Linked DNA regions of Oryzias latipes. The protein of the gene in region 3 purifies or fractionates together with the protein of the main gene of each other region. This does not show direct contact. Links are inferred from orthologs where the notes say so. Each region holds a gene or a part of one and is shown on either strand. Other genes may lie near its edges.

What was found.
Region 1: the proteins of snw1 (region 3) and bcas2 purify together in Homo sapiens (co-immunoprecipitation; 3 studies listed by BioGRID and IntAct, with this or other methods). This does not show direct contact. The link is inferred for Oryzias latipes from reciprocal best matches to the Homo sapiens genes SNW1 and BCAS2.
Region 2: the proteins of snw1 (region 3) and cdc5l purify together in Homo sapiens (affinity purification with mass spectrometry; 5 studies listed by BioGRID and IntAct, with this or other methods). This does not show direct contact. The link is inferred for Oryzias latipes from reciprocal best matches to the Homo sapiens genes SNW1 and CDC5L.

The regions. Positions count from the first base shown.
Region 1 is NC_019865.2:942,792-946,538, reverse strand, and holds bcas2 (pre-mRNA-splicing factor SPF27), read left to right. Parts: upstream 1-1,189; 5' UTR 1,190-1,293; coding exon 1,294-1,386; intron 1,387-1,782; coding exon 1,783-1,875; intron 1,876-1,964; coding exon 1,965-2,035; intron 2,036-2,136; coding exon 2,137-2,298; intron 2,299-2,376; coding exon 2,377-2,427; intron 2,428-2,507; coding exon 2,508-2,588; intron 2,589-2,661; coding exon 2,662-2,788; 3' UTR 2,789-3,101; downstream 3,102-3,747. UniProt on the Homo sapiens protein: Required for pre-mRNA splicing as component of the activated spliceosome. Component of the PRP19-CDC5L complex that forms an integral part of the spliceosome and is required for activating pre-mRNA splicing.
Region 2 is NC_019873.2:1,355,272-1,359,024, reverse strand, and holds the start of cdc5l (cell division cycle 5-like protein), read left to right. Parts: upstream 1-1,511; 5' UTR 1,512-1,680; coding exon 1,681-1,725; intron 1,726-3,578; coding exon 3,579-3,682; intron 3,683-3,753.
Region 3 is NC_019882.2:3,679,066-3,682,818, reverse strand, and holds the start of snw1 (SNW domain-containing protein 1), read left to right. Parts: upstream 1-1,211; 5' UTR 1,212-1,324; coding exon 1,325-1,338; intron 1,339-1,760; coding exon 1,761-1,914; intron 1,915-1,988; coding exon 1,989-2,150; intron 2,151-3,166; coding exon 3,167-3,262; intron 3,263-3,408; coding exon 3,409-3,515; intron 3,516-3,753. UniProt on the Homo sapiens protein: Involved in pre-mRNA splicing as component of the spliceosome. As a component of the minor spliceosome, involved in the splicing of U12-type introns in pre-mRNAs.

The DNA.
Region 1 (3,747 bases), on a different chromosome or scaffold from region 3:
GGAAGATAAATTTAAGGTATTTTGACTCTTATTTATACTAAACATTTGAAGGGAAATGGAAATGTTTTTGTTGTTTTTGCTATTTGTTCATTTTTTGCAAGTTATATCTTCATCGCAATATTGATCACTAATATCGCATATAGCGAGTTTTCCTCATATTGTGCGGCCCTACATACTATAATGCATACACATACCAGTACTTCCCCTTTCTTGGCTATTTACTCTTGGTTATTATTTCTGTATTGTTAAGATGAAATGCCTTCAACGTAAACTTATAATTTTATATACATTATTTAAAAAAAAATATTGAAGTGATGATGAAGTATTTTTACAAGATTGATCACATTTGTATCAGAAGAAAAAGCTATTTATATATTTTTTTAGAACAACAACAAAAGAAAGATAAAAAAAGCATTTATTTGTTGAAATTTAATATGAAACTCTTTAAAGGTTTACTGTAGTGCAGTAATAGCTGAAACCTGAAGTTTGTTACACTACACATCTGCAAGAAGCTCCTGGGGATCTTCTATCAGTCTGTGGTCGCCAGTGTAATAACCTACGCTGTGGTGTGCTGGGGGGGGAGCACCTCAAAGACAGACTTCTCCAGGCTGGAGAAGCTGATCAGGCGGGCTGGTTCTGTGGTTGGCACAAGGCTGGACCGTCTGGCTACTGTGGCAGAGAGAAGGACACTGAAAAAACTGACAGGTATCCTGGACAATACCAGCCACCCTCTGCACATGACTATCGGTAGCCAGAGAAGCACCTTCAGCAAGAGGCTGCTCCTCCCAAGGTGCGGGACTAATAGACTGAGGAACTCCTTTGTCCCCCGGGCCATCAAACTCTTTACCACCCCCGGGCCATCAAACCACTTAGGAGGGGGGAGGGGGACAGAAAGGAAAGGGAAAGGGCCTGAATCACTTTTTTTTTTTTGTATATACTGTTTGCAGATATTTAAATTGTTTTTTACTGTTCTAATCTTCCTCATTTTTCTAGTCACTGTGCTGCTTTTTCCTTTTTCCTATATGTATGTCAACCAGTGCTGTATGCGATGGAGATGTCAATTTCCATGCGGGAACCTCCCAAATGGATAAATAAAGTTGTCTATCTATCTACTAAGCTGCAGTTCCATTCCTCAACGCAAGAGGCGACAATCACGATTAATACAACACCGTTGAGACTTTTATTTCGGAAAGTTTTGACCGGAAACGGAAGTTTCTGATTAGCCGTTTGGAGTCTGTTAGCAGAAAAGGACTTTCTTTCTTTATTTTTATTTTTTTTTACTGGGGAGCGAACATGGCTGGAACGGCCTCGGTCGCTGGCGAAGTGTTTGTTGATGCGTTGCCGTATTTTGATCAAGGTTATGACGCACCAGGTGTCAGAGAAGCGGTGGGTAAACAAGAATGCTGCTTTAAAAGCTAGCTAACTTATAGCTAGTTAGAACTGTTAGCTAGCGATGCCGCATGGTAACGCGCCGTTCAATGTATAGTTGGCCAAACCATTATTATTATGATCGCCTGTATATTTCTTTAGATCTTGTCATTATAGGTTTCTGCTTTGAAACTATACAAGTTCATAATTTAGGATGAAAACCTTCAAAGCCAAAGCTGCTGTTTACCTCATCGGGTAAAACAACAGCTGAGGGGTTTGAAACAGCCGGCAGATCTGGAGAACCAGGGTTTGGTGACACTAAGTTGACATGTTAGATCATCAGGGGTTGTGGCTCATTTTTAAATCATGTTTGTATGAAAAATGGAGAGAAATCATTTGTACTTGGCCCTTCAGGCCGCTGCGTTGGTGGAAGAAGAGACCAGAAGGTATCGCCCAACTAAGAACTACCTGAGCTACCTGCCCATGCCGGAGTTCTCGCCGTTTGAGGTGAAAACCTGCAGACATTTGAAACTTGATTCCTAGTCTGGGTTGGCTAACCGGTTTATAATCCTTTCCCGTTTTGTTTTGGGTTTCAGACAGAAATCATGAGGAATGAGTTTGAGCGATTAGCCGCTCGACAACCAATGGACCTCCTCAGCATGAAGAGGTAAAAAACACACTCTGTCTGTCTGTACAATATTTCTGTAAATGTAAAAGAAAGAGAAAGTTTAGGGTGATTCCATAGAACGATTCTATTCTGCTGTGGAGGTATGAGCTTCCAGCCCCCACATCGGGACAGAAGAACGACATTACCGCCTGGCAGGAGTGTGTCAATAACTCCATGGCCCAGCTGGAGCACCAGGCCATCCGGATCGAGAACCTGGAGCTCATGTCGCATTATGGAACAAACGCGTGGAAGGTCTACAACGAGTGAGTGGCGGCCTGTGGGTCTCACCCTTTGGTGTCTGACTCTTCTGAAGACTCAAAGCTAATGTTGTCCCTTTTCAGCAATCTGGCCTTCCTGATTGAGCTGGCTCAAAAGGAACTCCACAAGTTCAGGTGATTGAGGATTGGATCATACATGCCTGAAAAGATCCAACGGTTACCATGGTTACACATTTCTGAACTTATGCCGGCAGGAAGAAGATCCAGGACCTGAACTGGCAGCGCAAAAACGATCAGTTGGCTGCAGGCGCCAAGCTGCGAGAGCTGGAGTCCAAGTAGGTTCTTCTTAAGTTCTGGTGTTCTCGTGGATGAGGGGTGATGTCTGACTCTGGTTCTGATTCCCGCCAGCTGGGTGTCGCTGGTCAGTAAAAACTATGAGATCGAGCGCGCCATCGTCCAGCTGGAGAACGAGGTGGCTCAGCTGAGGCAGCAGCAAGGGGAGGAGAACAAGGAGAACATCCGACAGGACTTTTAGGAGTCACCTCACCGGGATCCGTTGGATGGATCTGATTCGGTTGGTTTGGACGACTCGATGACTGCTGGAGCGTAGCGGGTCACTCGACTCCAAGACGGATGATGTTTGAAAGGCGTCGGTTTCCTCTGATGGAACCGTTGGGTCTTTTGTGTTCAGTTACACACAAATCATGGTTTGAAACTCATGATCGATCGACATGATCGATGTCTTTGTAGCTTGTTGTACAGTTTCTAAGTTGTGGTGGAGAAAAAAAATCCTGTTTTTGATTCAACTTTTGTTTTTTATCGTTTTAATAAAATGAACGTTTCATACACATTGTTATTTTTTTCAGTCTTTTACCTGTAAGTCTCTGAGCTTCAGAGCTGCAGCTGATGAGCTGGAAGCTAACAGATGGGAGCAGCTGGATGGTTTGTCATTCATCCCTCTTGAAGAACAGTGAAACCTAAAGTCTGAGGCCTAGAGTGAGGCGGTTTTGTGTCAGATCCCCTGTCTTCTGTACATCCACTGAACTTTGATCTCAGAAATCTGCAGCATTTTGTGCTGATCCATTTTCAAAAGTCTCAGCGTCTTCCATGACTTCCTGGATGAGTCTTCATCTTTGTTGTTGGTCAGTGGCACAGAAAGGTCACAACACATTAACTCACAACACATTAACTTACCACACAACACATTAACTCACAACCCAAAAACTCACAAAACATTAACTCACAATGGAAGTAAAGCTGCAATGGAGGTGCTTTTATCCTGAAATTAATTAGTGTATATATATATATATATATATATACACATCAAGCTCAAGGCCCCAACTGACAGTGTCCTCAGTGAATGTCTCAGGCAATGGAGAACAGAGGATACAGTGCTGGAGGACAGATCCTCATGGGAGGACAAACCCCTGCATGGGATGTACCACCGGACCATAACTGAAGTGGCTGATATCAAGAAGTCCTACCAATGGCTAG
Region 2 (3,753 bases), on a different chromosome or scaffold from region 3:
GAATTTAATCAAGATGTTCCTCAGATATCCAGTTGAAATAAAAAGATCATCACTCCTAAAACCTGCCTGTTTATTCTGATATCAAACATTAAAGCAGAAAAGGAAACTAGTTATATCCACCAGATCCAACTATTTGATCCATTCATTGATTTATCATGAGTACTGGTACCAGTCTGGTCACTTGGTACCAAGCAGCAGAGAGAAAAAATACATACTTGGCAGTGTTTTTATTTTATTTTTTATCTGATTATGAAGGACGTTTTATTTTGTAAAACTCTGCTTTGCTGATTTATTCTACATTTTTTTTCACACGTTCTTGACATTTTTATTACATGTCCTCTTTTTTCATTTAAAAGGTGATTAAACTAATTAAATTTCATGTTTAGTGTTTGGATCTGACATAAAGCCGCTCTGAAAAAAATGCATGAAAACTCACCAAAACTTGCAGACCGCCAGTACCTGGTAAAAATGAAGTCGATGACAGCATGGCAAGCGAAACCATAAAAAAAATAATAATAAAAAATTAATGAGCCGAAAATCGCTAATGGAGGCACAAAAACAGTCAAAATACACTAAGGAAACCATACAACACATGTCGGGGATATCCAAAGGACGTTTTGAAATTATTGTGGGCCACACAACCCACTGCTTGGCAGCTGGTTTGTGGCAAAATTGTGGCAATTTTCATGTTTTTCCACAATATGAGAAAAGTCGACCTTTAGCCTCGGGAAGAGGTCTTTGAAAAAAACCTGTAGTAGCAGCTACACACGAAAACTACAAGGTATTTTCGTCGATCATCTAACTTCTCGGTCGTCATTGGCAAGCTCCTGTGCAAAGAATTTTGCAACTAGAAGCTCGCTAATTTTTATGGGAATGTCACAAAAATTGAAAAATAGGGCCCCCTTCTACACACAACCCCCCACTTCTTTCACACCTCCGACCCCCCTAACTGATTGGGGAAATACAATGAGAAATAATGAATTGATAAATGAATAGGGCAAATATTTCCTAAGAATCATCGCATTTACCAATCAGGGACTCAGCTTTGGGTATGTGCCGTTTTCAGTGAAACAATCAGCGGGTAGAGAACACATCCAATGCCAGCGCTTCTGTTTTGAACTTCCATCTATTTTGTTGACCTGCTGGGGTCACGGGGTTGCCGGAGCCCATCCCGGTTCCTGTTGGGCGAAGGCAGGACATTATTTAGAGGTTTTATAATTGCACCATTACAAAGTATGTAGTATTCGGTTTATGTATGGAACACTTTTAAAATAAATAACATTGTAATGATTACATCTTTTTAAATTAGATTTCCGTTTTGTCATTTTATCTGGTAAGAAACACATTTTTGGGGACATTTGACTCATTTTTCTCAGCTTTGTTGTTGCTACTAATAGCAAAAGGGTAGGAGGGTTAAGATTTACCCAAAGTAATTATTTTTCCTGCTTCCTAAAATAACATATATACATATGAGACAGTCATGGTATAAGACTACGTTACCCACAGTGCCTTTCGGTGACTACTTGTAAGAATACAGTTTCCGGTGTATCCGTGCATGTCGTTTCTCCTTCGTAGTGTTGCTAGTTTTTAGGGAGAACTGGAAAATCTGCTAGACTGAATAGCGGGTGTTAAAGCAATATTTAATTTTGTTGACGGAGAATTCAAAAACAAGCCATCAAGATGCCTCGTATTATGATAAAAGGAGGGGTTTGGCGTAACACTGAGGTAAGTGTTTACATGGCTAACTGTTAGCATGCTCCTAGGCTAATCCTAAACCAATGGCGGGAGGTTAGCATAAAGCTAAAGGCCGTACTCTCCACAGCACGTTTATGTACACGCTCTTTTGTCCGCGAATTTAACTTTTGATATCGATGTTTTTAGTTGGAAAAGGTGATGAAGGTGGTGAAAGTGCAACATTTGCAGCCGTCTTCCTCTATGCTAGTCCTGAACGTCCGCTGCCTTCTTCACGGGGAGGAGACTTGCTGCTGCTGCTCGCTCTGCAGCCGGGAAACTTTAGGCAGATCAGCATCCATGTCTTTTTTATTTAATTTTTATTTTTATTTATTTATATACACAGTGATGAAAGTCTTCCGGGAATTCCCGGAAATCCGGGTTTTTGAGCAAACCGAACGTACTTTCCGGGAAATAAAGACCTGATCTTTACGGACAAATCGCTTTCCGGATGAAAAAATGGTCTGAAATCGGCGAATTTTAGCTTTATTTTCTATATTTCTCCGCGGATCGCTTCCTATATGGTCGCGGCCATCTCTCGTCTTCCCGGCCTAATTGACCAATGACGGGACGTTTTAGTTGCTTTCGGATGCGTCGACGGGTCTGATTGGCTCTGTCTGCACCACGTGGTCAGCGTGACTTGCTTCCCTAGAGACCAAAACTGGCTGACCCACGCTAAACTTTCACAAACAAATCTAAAGAGTTTGCGATCAAATTTGTGTTAAAATAATGGCAGGCATCGTCATTATTGAGCGTGGTCACGACCTCAGTTGTGAGAAGACGATAAAAAACAAATTGAAGTGGTCTTGGCTGGAAGAAAAATATTTTTAAGGTAGTGTAGGTCAAATACTTTTTTGTGTAAAATAATCTCAAAACCAAATTCAGAAATAATTTCAGTTTTAGTTTTGAGTTTCAGTTTTTATTTTGAATACATTTCTCTATCTAATTTATTTGTATTTCCTAATTACCATGATTTAGTTCAGTATAGTTGACATTAATTATAAGTATTTGATGGTTTGGACCCGCACTCCCTTAAAAAATAATGTTTACAATATTTAATTTAGTTTGTATGTTTGTTTTGATATTTCCCAGATTACTTAGTATTGGTGTTAAAGAATTGATGTATTATGTTATAGAATTATAGTTTAAAGCAGATCCCATATTTTGATGTAATTATAGTTTGAGAAAACAGTGCAAGTGAATGTTGTACATCAGTCATTTCTAAAGCAGAAATAATGTATAAATAACTGAGGTATTTTCATAGAATATCATAGTTACTGGTGTTCTTTTTGCCATTTGGGGCTTTGATGTTACTATATTTTAGCAATTGTATCTTTTGCAGATTTTAGGAAAAGCTTAGATTGTAGGATTGTTATACTTTGAGCAATGATCCAAATTCTTTTTTAGGACCAGGAAGTCCTTAATGTTAAGTCAAACTAGGGGTTTGAATGACAAATGATGATGCTCCAATTAGTCTTAGTTTCTTGATTAAGAAGTGAATAACGAGCTGCCAGAATGCACCAGAATGCATCTAAGACTATGTATTTTTCAAAAATTTCTCTCTGCGCCGCCATATCGCTCAAAGAAAAGTTCAGGGATTTTTTCCTTGCCTGACTTTCATCACTGTATACAAAAGAACACGGGCAGTTAATGGCAACTAATATTAGGAGATAATGTAATGTATTTATGGCCTGCAGGATGGATCTGGGTGGGCAGGGCTCACCTGTTAAATGTAGACAGTATAAGGCGCGTGATTCATTGATTCATAAAATGACAACTGCTAACCAAAGCAGTAAGTCGTTTGTTGTTTAGTGAAGTCTTTGTTGATTATTTGTTTGTTTGTTCAGGATGAGATCCTCAAGGCGGCGGTAATGAAATATGGGAAAAACCAGTGGTCCCGCATCGCCTCCCTGCTGCACCGCAAGTCTGCCAAACAGTGCAAAGCCAGATGGTGAGTTTGATGCCGAAACACATCTTCCATTTTCATAATGGTGGCAGCTTTATAGGCAGATGAACGGATGG
Region 3 (3,753 bases):
CAGTGCAAACTGCTAGATATCTTAGAAAAACCTTATTGACAGATCACAGGCTTTAATATACATTTAGGCTTTAAGATTGACAGAAAAAGGATTTAGACTCGCAACATCTGCATGAAAGCAGGATATGAAATCACTTATCCATGAGTGGACTTAATAAGGTGGCTACCTGTTTTCTATTAGATCCTAAGGGATTTCCTTCTGTTTCAGCAAAAGTTCTCTGGCAGTCTGAGTCTCTTCCTGAATATGAATGATACTTTTTATTAAATATGAAAACAATCCAAAGGAAATGGAGGAAGTTTCCATCCACCAAAAAAAAATCCTCTTTTGAAGTAACAAAATATGTATCTGAAGTATCCTTATGTAATTTATAAAAACATTTATGCATTTTTTTTATTCAAGCATATCATTCTTTTATTCTGTCATCCTTGTTTTTTTATAAAATTATTATTTTTCTATTGTTGTTTTTTGTGTAATTTAAATGTTGCTTTAACTTCTTAACTTTACCTTTGACTCCCGTGTTTCTTCATTGGGAACCTGGCCTGCTGAGTCCAGGGCAGGGATCTGCAACCTGAGGCTATGGAGCCACATGTCCATCCATTGTGGCTCTAAGGTTTAAAAAAAAAAAGGGAATGATTTGAAGAAATTATAAATGTGAAGTTTGGAACAAAATAATAATAAGAGTTGTAGTGTACTGTCTGAGTGTTTTTTGTTTTGTTTTTTTCAAATAAGCCTTAAAGCTCTTTTTCTGATCCTCTGCGCCACAACACTGTGTAGTTGCTGTTCAGAGACAAAGTTCTTATAGTTTATAAGTTATGATGCAGCCAGAAGATCTTATTTGGTACAGGGTGTAATTTATTTTTAAAGGAATTTGGATAAGCGGCCGTCAGAAGTAAAGCAAGTCCAAATTTGTATGCATAGAAAATATAAAGGCTGTGTTATTTCAATTATTTTAAATATTTAATAACTTTATTTTATAGATGAATAGATGATTGGCCAATACAACATATAGGGTTTTTTAATAATTAGAAAAAAATGTGGGAAGCACAAGTGTATGTATAAAGTTTCGTGTTTTTTTCATTGGGTGGGTGAAAGCCTGTTTTTTGTGTGCATTGGCTTTTATTATGTAATTAACTTAACAAGTTAACATAACAAATAAAATGTTGTAAAACGAGTATGTACTTTTATTTTATTTTGTTTTTATCGAACTGGACATGGTTTGATATGTATTAGAGCTTAGAATTGTCAAACCTGGCAACCTTCTTCTCTTTTTCGCTTACGGCCTGTTCTTGCGCATGCTCACTTCATAGTTCAGGAAGAAAGGAAAATGTCTCTGACGAGGTAAGTCTCTAAGTGAGGCCTTTTGGCGAATAAGGCACAAAATGCGATCGGAGTTTCTGTCTGTGTTTGTTATACATTTATTTGGTTTAATATTAAACGTTAAATATTTAGTTAAACTTTAAACGTTTCGCTCTTTTCTGTGTTTATGATGTTAGCTAATGCTAGCTAGTGCTAACTAGTGAGACGGGGTTAGCATTAGCTTGTACCCTCAAACGACCGTTTCTGAAGTTAGCTTGTTTGTTTAATCTATTACTTAAACACATGTATTTGATATCGTGTTAAATAAACCTCTTTACCTGCATTAACGTTTCAGGTTTGCAGTTTTTGTTCCTGCTACTTTGACGTCGTTTCACGCTGATCCGCGTTTACAGCGACTTGCTAAGTTGTCTTTAAACTGCATTATGTGGACCTGTTTTGCACAGCTATTTACCGGCACCGACCCAGCTGTCTCAGGACCAGCTGGAAGCAGAAGAGCGGATTCGGACCCAGAAATCCTATTCCACTGCGCTGGTTGCGTCCCGTAAAGAACCCCCTCCTTACGGACACAGAAAAGGCTGGGTTCCGCGTGCATTTGAGGTGCACTTCAATGGATTACACATTGGTTCACTGCCTAGTTTCGCATTTCTACAAAACATTCTGGGTGTTCCTAGGACTTCGGAGATGGCGGGGCTTTTCCAGAGATTCACGTGGCCCAGTTTCCTCTGGAGATGGGCAGGAAGAAGAAGACCTCTAACGCCCTGGCAGTTCAAGTGGACGCAGAAGGGAAAATCAAATATGATGCCATTGCCAGACAAGGACAGGCTAAGGATAAGGTACTTGAGCTTTTCCTCTTTCTGGCAGTCAGTGAGGAGCTTTAAAACCCTATTCTTGCTCTTAGTGTCCACAAATACATGAGAGGTTCTGACTTCTTGGTTCTATTCCTATCAGACACGGCTGTGTTTTATTTGTATTTTTTCACATAAAAAAGAACCAACAAGTCAGTTAATAATACAAGACACGATGAACTTTATCAAACTAACATGAGAGGTTCATTATATGACTTGACAGATTCTAAATTGACCTCTAAAAGTCCAGCTGAAGAACCGATGTTCTGGATGACAGAATCTCCACAGAAATGTGGGACCTAATCTTAACTTTGGTAATACAGCTTGGTTTGGTTGTCATTTAAAAAAAATGCACACTATAGTGTTTTGTTTTTTGTAAAAACCATGTTTGATCCTTACATTTCTATTGGTGTTCATACACGACACTCCAGACGCATGTGGGAGGAGCTACCGCCAAACGGTTTTAGCCTCATTGCTGCAGACAGGGATGATGTTGAGATATCACGTTTTTCTACTTTGAAGAGCTCTACAAAAATGTCGATAGGCACGTCTCCATGTCTTGATCAATGAGATCATCCAGAGACTCCCACATCTGCTCCTGAAAGGGAAACCCAGTTTGACGACTTTCTGTTCTGCATTCAGGACCTTTTTTTGTGTGTCTTGATCCACTTATAACATCTTCAACGCATCCCGGTCCGAAGAGGAGTCCCTGATTGGTTGACGCGGCGCATCTTGTTTGCCGAAGTTCATATTTTTGAACTCTTGACGCACCGCAACAGCCAAAAAAGCGCGCGGCTGCCAGACTGGTGTGCAGCTCCAAAATCAAATCTGATTGCTTCTTTACGTTAAGCTAACATTAAAACTGGACACTCCTAATGCGCAAATGGCATTTAGTGTAAACGCAGCTTTACACAATCTATCCTATTCTATGAGTCTGCATGTTTTGCCATATTGGTAAATTTTGAGTGAGATTATTTCTATAATTTTCTTCTTGATTTTTGTAGGTGATTTACAGCAAGTACACTGATCTGCTCCCAAAAGAAGTTCTTAATGAAGACGCTTCAGGCCTTCAGAAGCCGGATGAGGAGGCTGTAGAAGAGGTAATTTGCTGCTCGGGCTCGTGCAGACATTCAGGATTCATTCATCCGATTTGGTGAAATTGTCTTTCAGCGTGCCCTTACTTATTGTTTTTAATTACTGTAAGCATGTGTAGTTTCTCATGGTTGGGGATGGATGCTCTTTGCAGTTGACTGAGAAGACTCGGGCCGCTCTACAAAAGCAGGTGTCGCAAAAGATTGCTGCAGCCATGCCTGTCCGGGCCGCCGACAAACTCGCTCCTGCACAATATATCAGGTAGCAATTTACCTGAATCATAAACAGTACTTCTATTTTAGATCGAGGACTTCTTTGTTGTTCCATCAGATCCTCTTGGATTTTGCAATCACACCAGTTCACATGAATTCAACCAATTCTTGCGACGTTTTTGCCCAATTACTTTTGCCAGCTGCTCTTATTTTAAACACTTTCTCCACCAATCAAGCGTAGAGGCTGAAGCATAAACATCTCTTGTCTAATCGAACATGCTTACTTC